Caenorhabditis elegans: one gene and its partner. The protein of the gene in region 2 interacts with the protein of the main gene of each other region in a pairwise test. Each region holds a gene or a part of one and is shown on either strand. Other genes may lie near its edges.

The links. The genes of interacting proteins can lie anywhere in the genome.
Region 1: the proteins of mxt-1 (region 2) and ife-2 interact in binary tests that used the Caenorhabditis elegans proteins (3 or more experiments, as listed by UniProt).

Annotation. Positions count from the first base shown.
Region 1 is NC_003284.9:379,179-386,200, forward strand, and holds ife-2 (Eukaryotic translation initiation factor 4E-2), read right to left. Parts: upstream 3,532-7,022; 5' UTR 3,526-3,531; coding exon 3,449-3,525; intron 3,372-3,448; coding exon 3,200-3,371; intron 3,121-3,199; coding exon 2,891-3,120; intron 2,557-2,890; coding exon 2,349-2,556; 3' UTR 2,207-2,348; downstream 1-2,206. Other genes in the region: R04A9.3 (NPL domain-containing protein), read right to left, coding at 82-196, 240-397, 905-1,009, 1,217-1,303, 1,346-1,390; ceh-93 (Homeobox domain-containing protein), read right to left, coding at 5,344-5,430, 6,104-6,618. UniProt on the Caenorhabditis elegans protein: Recognizes and binds the 7-methylguanosine-containing mRNA cap during an early step in the initiation of protein synthesis and facilitates ribosome binding by inducing the unwinding of the mRNAs secondary structures.
Region 2 is NC_003279.8:12,840,298-12,848,428, reverse strand, and holds the start of mxt-1 (Eukaryotic translation initiation factor 4E-binding protein Mextli homolog), read right to left. Parts: upstream 4,161-8,131; 5' UTR 3,802-4,160; coding exon 3,720-3,801; intron 612-3,719; coding exon 474-611; intron 306-473; coding exon 138-305; intron 62-137; coding exon 1-61. Other genes in the region: ptr-17 (SSD domain-containing protein), read right to left, coding at 5,196-5,296, 5,730-5,951, 6,180-6,293, 6,356-6,415, 6,529-6,647. UniProt on the Caenorhabditis elegans protein: Plays a role in promoting translation.

The DNA of each region.
Region 1 (7,022 bases), on a different chromosome or scaffold from region 2:
AAGTTAACATATAAATAACTGTATTTTATACGTATTTCTTCTGTTACCGTACGTTGTTCGTGCATAGAAAACCCAACTCACAAAGTGAAAAAAGTAAGTCGTTTCTTCTGTATATGAAGTCATGGTTATTTCCTTGACGTTGTTTTCACAAACAAAACGGTTGGTATTCGAAGGATCAATAACAAACATTAGTGAACTAAAATTATACGATACTTCAACAAATAAAAACTTGGCCTTACTCCGAAAAACACTGGAAGGTTTTCTGTTTATTTTTAAGCAAACTTTCCCACTTTTTCACATTCACCGGAACTTTCTCAATGATTTTTTGAATGCCTTGAGCAGACAGACGGAGTATAAGAGATGTAGGTAGACTACAGCAAAGTTGAGGGCTTGAGTACTGCAAAAATTGTTGTTATACAACAAAAAAAAATGATCCGGCACACTTCGGCACCTCGAATTTTAAAAGTTTTCCGAAGAATTGTGTAAGTACATATCAGGGCTGTGCGGCAATCGAGATTTTCGGCAACCGGCAATTGCCGAAGTTGCGAACCCAAAAAATTTTGGCAACCGGTAACTTTTGGTCGCCGAAACTTCAACAACTTTTCGGCAACCGGCAAACTTGGGTTGCCGGTTGCCGCACAGCCCTGGTACACATCTTATATTGCAGTCAAACACGGTCAACCCCGCTTTGTTGCTACTCATAATTTTATAATAGAAATCAACAGTCAATCCAACTTTTTAAAAAAATTCTGAAAATTTTCAAATTTTCCATGAGAATGTGGTTTGTGCAAAAAGTTATTTCATTCAAACATTTCCGACCGTTTCAGAAAAAAAAATCACAATAAATTTTGACTGAAAATTTATGACGCTTTTTAAAATGACAGATGCCACAGTTTTTACTCACCAGTACTTGAGACACATCAACGGCAGAGAGATTAATTGAAACACTGTTCTGTTTGTCGAGACTTGGTACCGGGAATTCAAATGCTACTTCACGGGTGTTTCCAGTCTGAATTTATCTGTATCCTAAATCATTTTCATTTTCAGAGTTTTTAGGTAACTGCAAAATTGTGGAAAAATTCTCAAATTGAATACTTTGCAAAAATTGATTATCATATACCGTATTTCCTCTATTAATATTGCAGCCGACTACTTAACTTTGAAACGTTAGGTACTTTATAAATTTCTTTTTCAGTTGGACAACAAAAAAACAAACATTTCTAACGGAAATTCGAAGAGATCTTATTTCCTTTTTCTTGTAGTTAAATTTGAGATCACCCCACCATGCTTGGCAAATTGAATACTGCAAAAAAAATTTGGACAAATTTTCGACGAAAAATCCAACCGTAAACTCCATTTCTTCCAAGCGTTTCATTCGGTTCTCATCCATTTCCCCATTTAATTACAATTCAGGACAGATGAATAAGCTGTAAAATTTGTAATTAAACAAGCTTAACGCAGAATTTTTGCTTAAAAAGTTTTCCACCATTTGTATGTTTAAACGTTGTCTTTTTTAAATTCAATAAAAGTTTTTAAAGAAATGCTGTTTGGTTTCAACACTGGATAATGCTAAGAAAATTGAAAAATTCTGTGGTTCATTATTTAAGAAATGTTTGTTTTCCATTAGACAATTTTAAAATCTTGTCTAATTAATTTTCAAGCTAATTAAAACCAAATTAAAATTAAATGTTTTCCATTGAACACTTAGAACTTTGAATATTTTCCGAGGGGTAGGTTTTCACGGCGGCAGACAATTTCCGAGTTTGGCCACTGATTATAAGAGTGGCCTAACTCGGAAATTGTCAGCCGCCGTTCACGGTATCCTACCCTTTGGAAAATTTCGAAAATCCTACACACCGGACGCAATGAATGTATCCGGTCCGGACGCTATACTTCAAAATTTGTCTTGAAAACCCAATAGACTTTTTGTGCTACGTATCCATGTGAGGGTGAGAAAAATCGCCATATCTTACGCGCAAAAAGCACCTGTGTCTCTTTTCTCGAACGCTGTCTAACGTCTAGGCAAAACGCCTATCGCGAGAGAGCGTGTGGAGCGTGTGGAGAAGAGAGACGCGGGCGTCCGCAGTTCTCATCAAATCATGGACACGTTATAAGTCAGTTTGTAGTTTTTGAAAAAAAAAATCCAGAAAACTAAGTGATGATAATACACTCTTTTTTTATTCAGTTGAAGGAAAACACAGATATAAAACATTCGTTCATTTCCGCAAGCCAACCAAATAAAAACATTTCAACAAGTGAAGAACATGTTAAAATACGACGTGAATACGCATTAGGATTTAAAAAAAAACAAGATATATGTTAATAAAAATAACGCATCAAAAAGAAATTTAAGTGGCTGGTGTGGCAGGAGTCTCGGTTGAGACTGGAACTGGGGCTTTCTCCTCGCGTGGCTCCACCGCGTAAATGGCGTGCTTCGCTTTGACTCCTGAGCTCGTCTTCTTCTGGCAACTCTCATGATCCTCATAACGGAGAACGTCGTAGAGTGGTCTCTGATGGATCATGCTTGCATTGTTGAGCACTTGCTTCAAGACGCCTCTGCAAAATTGAAAGTTTCACTTTAGTTACTCTACAGTTGCCTGTCAATTTTACATGTACCGCTGCTTTAACATAATTTTGGAATTTCGCTGACCATTAAGCAATCAAATTCTGTGGTACATATGAAAGATGCGCTAGACTGGTTTCATAACCAATAACGTTATGTGTTGCAAACGGTTAGCAGTGGAAAATTGTTTTTGAACGGATGAATTGCGTCTTGTAACACCCAGAAGTTGTCTGTGGCTCAATCAAATGTAATGATCAACTAGACTAGTTTCATAACCAATAACGTTATTTCTACAACCTCATTAGTTTTTAGACTATAAAAACCTACCCAATTCTCAGATTTGCCCCGTCATCAGCACTGTTTGTAGTCCAAACTGAGATTTTTGAGCCCTTTCCACGGACGTTGCAGACAATTCCGCACAGACTTTCGATATCGTCGGAAAACTGCTCTCCGATCATCGCCATAAGAATTTCGGTCCAGATAGTGTCCATGATTTCCGGAGTGCGTCCTTTCTCGATAGTGATAAGCCATCTTCCTCCATTCTGATTTTGTGGCACCTGAAAACACATTGGAATGTGTTTATGAAAATATTTATACCACGTGTGCATCAGCGCAAAAATCAAAAAAAAAATTCACCTCCCACATTGGCTCAATTCCATCTCTGAAAACATTATAATCTGATGGTGGATTGAGCCCACTTGGCGGCTTAATAGAGTCGTGAAGTGCCCAGAACTCTCCGACGCTGCTAAAGGTTTTCACGTTCTTGAGACGCTCCTCCCACGATTTGTTGCGCTCGTCGTTCAGATACCTACAAATTCGTTTATTCCTTATGTTCAAAAATTTATTCAAAATCTTGATGCCTAGGGAAAAGTGTCAATAGCTTACCACCAGGTCCAGTTGCGTTTCAGTTTGTAAACTGGGTGGGAGATGGTTCCAGGAGCTGCGACTGGTTCTTCGGACATTACTTGCTGAAAAGAAAACAATATGTGTGGCAAAATATCAGGCAGTAGTTTAATGTCGAAAAATTGAAATAGTCAAGTGCTAAATTAGGTAAAAACAAATGTGATATTGAAACAGAGACACGCAAAAACCGATATTTCCCAAAATAAGTCTGCAAACACCGTGACGGAACAATGCAGACGCGCGAGCGGTTTCTCTGTGTGATGCGGCGAGTGGCTGCAGCACCGGTGACAAATAAAAAAGAGGTACGCGCAGAGAAAACTATAAACAGAGAAGAAATAGTGTTGGAGTGTGGTGAATCAATATATATATCAATATATATTTCTGAGTTGCAAAACGGATAGAAATGAGAAGCCGGTGAAGTGAAACATTTCAATTTTTGAATTTTTAGAGGATTGAGAGATAATTACTTAAATGTCAAAAAGTTCCAAATTAATCATTTTGCTGTAAATACTGAACCTGGAGATTTTTTAACCGTCAAAATTGTTCGACTTTTTGCCCGGCAATGGATGCAAACAGGTATACACCGTTCTGAAACATATTAAATATTTGCATTCTTTGTTTTACAGTCGGATGGTGATACAAACAGGGGTGAGCGGCAGTCGGAAATTTCCTGCAAATGGCAATTTCAGCAATAGCCGAAATTGCCGGACATTTTCGGCGATTTTCAAACCTAATTTTATTTCGGAAATTGAAAAAAAATTTACCTTGTATTTTAGTGTTCAATAAGTCATTTTCTAGAACGAAACTGTCAATCCTCAAAAGATCATTTACTATATTTAAAGGGCTATGCCCTTCCGTTTCTATGTAGTTTGAACTTTGATCAGAGCAACGAAATTTTGGGAAACCTTATGCTAAATGCGCAGTAGGCATCGATTGAGGTCCGCGATACGCACCGTATATCCTATGTCTTTTCTAAAAAAAAGTAAGGGGGCCGCGCCGTATGTGCGGTCCACGGTTGGTTAAATTACATTGCGCTTGAAAAAAGAACATTATTCACTATTAGTAACATGCATGTTTAGGCTCTTAAATCTACAAAAAGTGTCAAATTTGTATTTCCTGTAATTCTGATTTCCGGCAATCGGCAGTTTCCACAATTGCGGGTTTTGGACATTGCCGAAAATTCGATTGGCAAAACGCAATTGCCGCGCACCCCCAATACAAATCATGAGTTCTTATAGCAACTTCTAAGTATTTTGAGATTTTCTCAAACTCGACGTTTTATATTCTATTTTTTCGTATGTTTGAAAATTGCTTACATTAGATCTTTTTACATCGCTGCTGTGCAAAAAATAAAAGTTTTCCGCGAAATGAGCGCATCAACCTTAAATTAAAGATGGTAGTTCATAACAGAAATTACACAATATCAGAAAAAGCGGTATGTAACCAAAAAAATTGTTGAATTTTGACCCGTAACTATTTTCCCCTCCTTACATATTTGAACATTCCTATCAAACGGTGGCCGATTCTGATCACGAGCAACCATTTTACATAGTTTTTATAAGAAGCTGAACTAGCTTTTGGAAAGCTTCTGGCTCTTTATTTGTATAGCATCTAACAATTGACCGTGATATTTTAATACAATTTGGTACGACTACTGGTGAGTCCGGTCAAGAAAATACACAACTGTAATAGAAATTTAATATTTTTTAAGATTACCTATTAATTATCCTAAAACAGACAAAGTTTCAATGTTTATTTCAAACTCAAAAAATTACTTGTACCCTTAAAATTTAGGAAAAGGAAATCATTCAAAATTAAAAAAATTGTTGAAAGAAAAACAACTATTCAATTATAAAAAAGTCACGACTGACATTTATTCACTTTGCCTTGCCAGCATATATCGACTTTTGCCAGTCGATGAAGCTGCAAAGGGTGATGTGGGAAACTCCAAGACGATTTGCAATCTGAAAATTAATTAGAAATTGTTAAATCATTACACAAAAAATGTATTCGGCAAATTTGCCATGCTGAAAAAACTGGAGACAAAATCAATAGTTAGAAATTGTATTGCCGTGCTCGGGAAATTAGGCGAACGGCAAACTCGGCGAGTTTGCTGCTCTCCCCCGGCAAATCGGCAAACCGGCATCTTGCCGATTTGCCGAATTTGCCGGAAAAACGGCATCCTATGAATCTTCCTACGTCTATTTTGAAAAGTAAGCAAATTCTAAGAAAATATGTAGAAAAAACGGGAAAATTCAAAAAGACAGTGCTTCCGTCTTATAAAAAATCTCTCTAAGCATTTCCGGCAAATCTGATATCCGGCAAACGGCAAATCGGCAATTTGCCAAAAATGAAAATGTTCGGCGAATCGACAAACTGACAATTTGCCGATTTGTCGAACGGCAATTGTCGCTCATCCCCGTTTAGATGTACCTTATTTAATAAAAAAAAAAGTGTGATAAACAATTGAAATATGCGACAAAAAAACATAATTGAAAAAGTTGAACTTCTAACAGCTGTGACCCGAAAAAAAAGACATTTGAAATTTTAGCTAAGATAAGCTTAATTTGCTTAAAATTTCAAACATAAACGCGAAACCAATACAAATATTCTAGTAAAAATTTAAACAAATCTTACTTGAATATATTCATCATTCGGTTTTCTTCGTTCCTCAGCAATTTTCATCATTTCATCAACTGTTTGCTTAGAGAGAGTTAAAAAGTCCTTCGGCGCATCTTTCCAAACTTTCAGTTTTCTTTCGGTAATCCGCTTCTTATTGAAATAGTTTCTGACTTGACGTTCACTGAGCCCTAGTTTCTTTGCGATTTTTTCTCGTTGTCTCACACCAGGCTTGTTGTTTTTTGCAAAGTATTTGTTCAACCCTTCAATATTCAGTTTTGGCAGTCTCCTACGACAAGATGCAAAGATTCTCAAAATGTTGTGTTTTTGCTGCTGCTCGGTAGAGTTTGATCCCGATGTTGCTTCAGTTTTCTTAGCAATCCAATTTTCAATTTCTTTTTCATTAATCTCCAATTGAGTTGAAAGAGCCTTGATATCTTTTGGTCGTAGCGTTTTATCCTCGCGGTTATTTGTTCTTTGCAGGAATGCTTCTTCGAGTTGTTTTGAAACTTCAGCTGACAATACACTGTTTTCTGAAAAAAAGTCTATATTATCAACCGTCAAGTTCCTGATGTATTAACACATTATTCTCACAGAAAACTTGTGAGTGTTGTTGCCTTCAACTTTAGTTTTATCTTATTCAAAATTAAGACAAAGTTTAAAAATAATTTGTTTCAGAAACAATTTGACTAATGATAAAATGTGTAGTAGTTAAAAATAACAATAAAAAACAGTTAGATTTTTGAAAAATTTCAGGCAAAACTTTGAAAAATTGTCACTTTTACGAATAAGTGTGTGTTTTTTGATTAAATGAACGGGCGGCAATTGTCGTTCGGCAAATTTTTTGTCAACAAACTCGGCAAATCGGCAAATTGTCGGTTTGCCGAAAACTTTCAATTTTGGAAAATTGCCAATTTGCCGTTTGAAGGATATCAGA
Region 2 (8,131 bases):
ACTTGTGTTGGTGGTGACGTGGCAGACGGTGGAATGCCGACAGTTGGAGCTGGATCATGTTCTGGAACACACGAAGGTTTTTTAATAGTTTGTAGTTTGTGGCGTGTAGTTTTCTAGTTTGTAGTTTGTAGTCTTACGTCCTTCCGGCCTGTTGACATAATATTGGCTGTGTGCCAAGTTTGTTCTCCAATTCATTGCCCGTAATTCGACAAGTTCCATAATTTTCAATCGACACGGTGTCCCAAGTTGTCCATTATCTCGACAGCATGCTTGACGTAATGATGTGAAAACTTTATTTAATTCATCTGCAAAAATTTTTTAAATTGAAATTATTATAGTTTTAAAACTTTGGAAAAAATGTTCAAAAATGATCAAAAAAAATTTTTTTTTTGAATTTTTTCTGCAATTTTCACTTATTCACTTATAGAGCTTTGATGGCCTGACTTTCCGAAAAAAAAAATTAGGCCACTCACTTTTATGTGATTGTTCCAGCATCGAACCCGAAGTTTTGAGTTGAGCACAAAGTGTGAAGATCGTGTTTGCGAGTTGTGAAGTGAATTGGCTCGCACGTACCATATTGTTGATTGTGTTCATTAGCTGTAGTTGTTGGTCTGGAAAAAGTTTGGAGAGTTTTGGATTTTTGGAAAAAAAATTTCTGAAAAAAAAATGTTTTTTTGGAATTTTTTTTTGGAAAGTAATTTTTTTTTAAACTTGGATAGTTAAAAAAAACATTGTATTTTTCTAAAAAAAATTACATTTAATTTTCCGTTTTTATATTACTATTTTCAAATAAACGTTAACAATTCAGATTTAATAATTGATTTTAAAACAATTTGGTACTTGTGTATTATTTCCCCTCATTTTTAAATATAATTTTTTAAATAAAAACGTGTGGAGTTTTTGTATTTTTAGTCTTAGCAAATAACCATTTCTAAGCCTAAGAAGGGAAACTGGACATCACGCTATATTAAAATGGATAATAATAAAACGAGGGGAAATAATACACAAGTACCAAAAATTTAAAAACATTTCAGAACTTTTCAATATTCACTTTTAGTTTGAAAAGTTTTTCTTTACTTTTAATCATATTTTAAAATAAATTGATTGTGCAAATTTTTTAACTATAAAGTTTTTAAAATTTCAGTATTTAAGCTGAATTAATTTGACATTTCTAGCTAATTTGAATAAATACTGGATTTTTAAAATAAAATTTACTTTTGAAAATTAAACAAATATTTAAAGTATGTAGTATGTGGTGTGTTTTTTGTTCGCATAGATTTGAAAATAAATCAAATAAATAATTTAAAAAGTATATTATTTAATTTTCAAATAGCAATATCAATTTTGGTATTTTATTTTGATTTTAAAAAATTCGGCACAAAAATTTTTGAAGATTTTTTTAACGCTGAAATGATTGATAGATTTTTTCTGTTGAAAAAAAAATTTAAAAAAACCAAAAAATGTCGATTTTTAATTTTTAATCAATTTTTGTGGATTCTGAACTGTATTTTACTTAAAACAATTTTTTTTAACTTGAAAATTGAAATCATTACTGAAAACTGAACAAAATACTGAAATTTTTCTGAATAATATTTTTTTTCAAATTAAATATTTTCAAATTCCCAACTCCAAACCCCTTACCTTTTTACCTCTAAAAGTTCACGAAAAGTCTCAAAAATCTCTCATTTCTCCAAAAACAAATAAATGTCTTCTCCCCCCACTTAATCCTTATCAATTTTATATCAAAAATACACGAATGAACTCTTTAACATTGTCTGCGTCTTTTCATTTCTAACAATTTCTCCTTTGTCGGCTTCTGTACAATGTTAAGTGGCGGCTCGGCGAGCCGCTTTTCAGGTATTTGCTGATCGACTTTGTAACGATGGAGGGGGAGGAAAATTGGGTTAAACATGGGTTGATTTAGATGGAAATAAATGAACTAATATTATTTTTTGATTAGTTGAGTTTTTGGCTATAAACTACAAAGTTACCTAGCACGAGGGCTTAGGCTTAGGCTTAGCCTCAGGCTTAGGTTCAGGCTTAGGCTTAAGCTTAAGCTTAGGCATAGGCTTAAGCTTAGACCTAGGCTCAGGTTTAGGCTTTGGCTTAAGCTGAAGCTTGGGCTCAGGCTTAGGCTTAGTCTTAGGCTTAGGCCTAGTCTTAGGCTTAAGCCTTATGCTGGGCTGCGGGATGGCTATTCCAGCTGATAAAACAAAAAAACTTTTCTTCTAAAAATGGATAAATCAAAAAACGGAATTTTTGGATTCATGAGAATTCTGAAAACATTGAAAAACCCGCACCCATGGCTTCAACTCTATAGTTTTTGGTTCAGTCTATCAAACTACAAACTACAAAGCTTCATAGCCTCACCCAACATATTTTCGGTTGAGGTCATTTTTTGTAGTTATAAACTCTTGTAGAATTCCCTTCCTCTACTTTCACAATCAGTATTTTACCAGAAACTTGTCGTTTTGACGAGCTAAGATGATATATGAGCTGAACGGGTGAATATGTGAGAGAGTATGTGGGATGAATAAACGCAGAGAAAGAGAAGAGCACCCGGGAGAAAAGAAAAAGTGTGTAAAAATCGAGTGCAGCTGTGAGAGAAATCTGAGTTTACGAACTGCAAAAACGCTTATGAAATCAGAAATAATCTATAAAATTGGGAACAAACTGAGGGACTACAAACTACAAAAGGGTTTCCAAAATCCCTTGATTTACCTCTAGAAAATTCTTTGAAAAATATTAACTGTATGCAAACTGGTCATACAATTTGGAGCTGAATATTTAGCTTTTAAAATTTTTAAATAATAAACAGTTTTTTTAAAATAAGTTGCACAAAAATTCAGGTTTCGCAATTTTTTATTGCAAACATTTCACAAAAAATCAGATCAGAATATTATCAGAATATTATATATTTATATTATTATTATTATATTATATAATGCCGTAATTTTTTTCAAAAAAAATCGGGCTTAACAAATTGTACATTTATTTTGAAGCTAAAATTTTTATTGTTATCGAAAAATTAAAATTATTTTTTCTAGTTTCACTATCAGTTGAAAAAAAATTCAATTCAAAACTTCCAAAAAATTATTTTTAAAAAATTAAAAAATTTCAAAATCTCATAACTTCTTCCAAAATTACCCAATTTGTACAATTACTATGTTATTTTGAAGCAAAATATTTGTTTTTTATAAAAACATTTTAATTTTATAGGAAAAATACAAAAACCAAAAAAAAAACCAGATTCACAATTAAAAAAAAAACATTTTTTTCGAGATTTCTTAAATTTTCAAAATTATCAGATTTTTTTAAATTCAAATTTTTTTATGGAAAACAATTAATTCTTACAGAAAGCTATACTTGCACAAAAAATTTACAAAAAACACATGTTTCAAAATTTTCGAAAACAATTATTTTTTTTCGAAAGTTTTCCAAATTTCAAAATATCATAACTCCTTTCAAAACCAATAGATTTTTCTAATTTTTACTTTATTTTGAAGTTTAATATATATTCTTTTAACTTTAAATTATATTTAGACTAATATATGACAATAAGTCAAAAAAAGTTTCAGTTTCAAAAGTATCAAAAAAAAACATTTTTTTTCGAATTTTTTCCAAACTTAAGTCTCTTCAAACTTGCTTAAATTTTCCAAATTTTAAGTTACTCTGAAGCTCAAACAATTATCTTTTTTATTATTACAAAAATAACTCACCAACACTCAACAAGGTGTTTCGGGGCACCTGAGGCGCGCCCTGCATTTTCCCGCCGCCAAAGTCGTCGTAGTTATGAAGCATGGTTTTTCAGATTTTGGGAATCAAAATCAATTGATTTTGATTTTAATTATTTTTTCAGATTAAAATGACAGTTTCGTGTGCAAGAAAGAATGTGTTGGCTGGTGGCAGGAGATGTTGGTGGACAGTGAAAAAGTAGAAGAAATTTTTTAGGAAATCCGAAAAAAAGTTTTTTAAAAACTTTTTTCAGAAATCCAAAAATCGTTCGTAATTTTTAAAATAAATTCGAAATATCGGCGGGACGTTAGGGGTAACGTTTTTGGGGATGAAAACGTCGTGTAACTGAACAGCACCGCCCGTGTGTTAATATCTTTGTGTTCTCCTGATTTTACACATTCTCTCGGAGATGAGCCACTCAGTTTGGCTCCGCCCATTTTTTGTTCTGTTCCTATCATCTCTGTCTCTTTTTGTTTTCCGTTTTTCTTTACAACAAAATTTGCAATGAGGGAAAGGGAAATTGAATATTAGGGGTATTTTTGAATCATTTTTTGGCACAAAAGACTGTCATTTTATCTGAAATTAATTATCAAAATTCGTTGATTTTGAGTTCCAAAAGACTTTATCGGCGGGGAAAATTAGAAACACTGGTTGGAATGTTTTGTGGTACTGAAAAAAAAGTTTTAAAAAATTGAGCTTCAAAAAAAGTTAAAAAATTTAAATTTTGGACAATTTTGAAAGGAGTTATGCTATTTTGAAAATTTCCAAAACTCGAAAAAAATTTTTTTTGGAGCTTTTGGGATTAGGTTTTTTTTAAAAAAATTTTGTTAATCAGATAATAATTTTGATTTATTATAAGAAAACATATTCAGCTTCAAAATAAATTAAAATTGGAAAAATCTGATAAGTTTAGTAAAAGTTATGAGATTTTGAAAATCGAAAAATCCCAAAAATTGGTTTTTTTTCTTTTCACCTGCAAAGTTACCTGGTTTTTTAAAATTTTGTTTTTATTTTTACGTACTTTACAACACAGTAACTCTTGCTGGAAATCAGTTGCTGAGATACTGTGTATTTTTTGGTTCAGGCTAAGATAGTTTTGTAGTTTGTAGTCTAAGCATCTCTCATCTTGCACCTCAATTTTCCATTTCGGAAAATCATTTCAGACATCATTCAAAACGGTCAGGGAGTTTCGGGTGGCACAAATTTACATAATCATTTACATATAATCAACACATTGTTATTTTTCTCTTTGTCTCTTTTTCTAAAACATATCGGAAAAGAACGAATTCCTAGAGAGACACAGATAACGAGATTGAAATTTGGAACCTGAAATTTGGATATCGAATTGCTTTCAAGTTTTTGTGAATAAAAAATTATTTCAAACCAAAATAAAACATGTATGTACAAACGAAATAAATAAATAAGTTACAAATTGCACAAAAATTGATATTTTATCAATTTCACGGCTCCGTACTAGTCGTGGAAGTTGTCTTAAAGTAGTCAAATACCCTGTGACAGTTCATTAGAAGAAGTGGAAGGAAGACCAATGCGTGGGTGGTACCTGGAATGAATTTAAAGGTTGCTGGCCTAGAAATTCAGATTTTGTGTTTTCTAGGCCACCAGTATGTATGTTAGTTCTTAGGGTTCTAAATTTGGGGTACGGTAGTACTAGCTTCAGCTGTGATTCAAATTTTCAGTAAAGCAGATCATCACAAATTTTGAAATTTTTGAAGTTGCTGGACTAGAAACCAAAAATTTTATAAATTTCTAGGCCACCAAACTATATGTGAACTCCCAGATGTTATGGAGATGTATGAGTAAAGTAGTTTGGTAGAGCTCATTTTCATTACCAAAATTTTTTTTAATTCCAAATTAGGTGGCCTAGAAAATCACATTTAGGATTTTCTAGGCCATCACCCCGCATGTCAGTTCCCAGGCCCCCTAAGACCTCCAAACTTTCTAAGTTCACTAGAGCGAATTTACACAACACTTACCAAATAAAATAACCAATACAACAGTCCTAAAACACGTTTGAACCACATAACTATCCACCAAATACAGCGAAGAAACACCCAAAAGTACGGAAACTGAAGCCTGTGTGACTGGCCAGCCGATTGTACCCAAAGTGTGACAAAATCGTGAATAAATTGCACTTTTTCCCGGAATTTGGGCTCCAGATTCTGTCATGTACGCGTAAGAGACGTGGGCGGCGAAATCTGGAAATTTTTTTAATTTTTTTTTGTAAAATTTTTAGACTTTTGCTCCCCAAGAGCTTTCAAAACAGTAGTGAAGGGTGCAGATTTTCGACGATATAATTGGAGAAGGCTACAAAAATTGGGTAGTTTATTGTTTGTAGTTTGTAGTTTATTGTTTGTAGTTTGTAGTTTATTGTTTGTAGTTAGTAGTTTAAAGTTTGTAGTTTGTAGCTTGTAGCCAAGTCTTACCAACTGAAAATCCGACACTCATTGCTACAGTAATCATTGACGTGGCATCCAGGCTGACACCAAGGAAGGACATGGTTCCGATGACTCCGAATGCGATGGAGGCGATATTTAAGCCTGCGATGTTTGACTACATAGACAACGAAGACTACAAATACTACGAATTCTACAAAACTCACCAATAATAACTGAGCAGAGTGGTTGTGGAATGAAGAGCAGTGCGACCGGAACCATGACAGCTGAAATTAGTATTTTTGTAGTTTTTAGTATTCAAGAATCATACTACAAACTACAAACTATAGTGATAAAAAAATTGTAGTTTGTAGTTTGTAGTTTACAGTTTATGCCTTACCAATAGAAATATAGATATCCTGCATAGTTTGTGGCCACATAATATCATACTCGTCTGCAATATTCCACAACGGAGAATATGTAATAATACTGTAGTTTGCATGTTTTTGGGACAGTTTTCTGCAAAAATATTTTGGTTGAGGCTCACACAGGCAAAGCGGGTACGGTCCGTTTACGGATCTTGGACCGGGAACGGACCATTAACGGGCGAACTACGGATATGAAAAGCGGGACGGACCAATTACGGGCAAACTACGGGGAATGTAAAAAATGGCCATTAAGAGGAAAAAATGGATTTTAAGAAAACAATTTTTTTTTAAATACCTATGATACCAGTTGGCTAATTCAAGAATTTTTACGTCGTTAAATGCATTATTTAGAGCAAAAACCACATTTACCGACCGAGATGGCTCTTGAGCCGTAGTTGGGCCGTTTCCGGTCCGTAGACGGTCCGTCGCCGGCCCGTAGACGGACCGTAAATGAACCGTCCCGGGCACCAAATTTTTGTTTTTGAAAATTTCAGGTTCTAGCACGGGAAAAGTGCTCAAATTAGCCAAAGGAGAGTGTAGGCACTTCAAAAACTCCATTTTCATGAAAAAATTTTTTCGTATTATCCTCCGTTTTGGTGATCATCCGTAGTTTGGCCGTAGCCGGTCCGTAGATGGTCCGTAAATTAACCGTCCCGGTCGGCAAAACTGCACTTTTTAAAACTAAACCTTGAATCAGGCAAAAAATTAGCCAACTGGCTACAATGAACCAAATAGCATTGTGGGTACTTCAAAAACTCAATTTTCATGAAAAAAAATTCCTCTGGGCAACCATTTTGTCTATCATCCGTCCAACTGGTCCGTACGCGGCCCGCAAATCGCATGCGATCTAACTGAGGCTATTAAGCATGACATTGTGTGTAAAAGAGGTTATATTAATGTAATCCTATAAACATATCAATAAAAAAGATGAAATGCCACAATTGGGTAGATACTGTGTATACGCAACGTTCACTCTCTCTGCTGGTCTTCTTAAGCTGAGCAACAGGAGCATTTTTTGAAATATCATAAAATATTTTACTAACAATACATTCTGGAATCATATCGTTTCTGTTCCGTGTGTATTTTAAGAAATTAAGGTATCATTCAAATAGAACGCATATACCTTATTTCCTCTATTAGTATTGCAACCCGGTCCAATCGAAAATTAGTCTTGCATGCAAGACTAATAGAGGAAATATGGTAAGTACCATTTCTGTATTACAAGTAGATGGAGCACGTATAGGTAGATGTTGAGAAATATGCGAAATAAGTTCTGAACTACACGAAACTGTCAATTGTTATCGTTCGCTTTCATATAAGTCCAACGGCAAGATGGAGAATCAGAAACTACTGAAAATACAATCGAAAAAGTTGGTGTAAGACGTGAAAACCAGAAGAAAATGCGCGAGCGCGAGCTAATCGCTATTTATGCGAAGTCTATTGTTTTTCCTCGCGTGCGCGAACGGCCAAACGGTAAGGTGATGGGCCAGTAATCAATCGACAGGCAGTGGACAAGTTCAACCCCGGCTGAGGCAGATAGAATTGCTACAACGAAGGATCACCGGAAGACGGTCT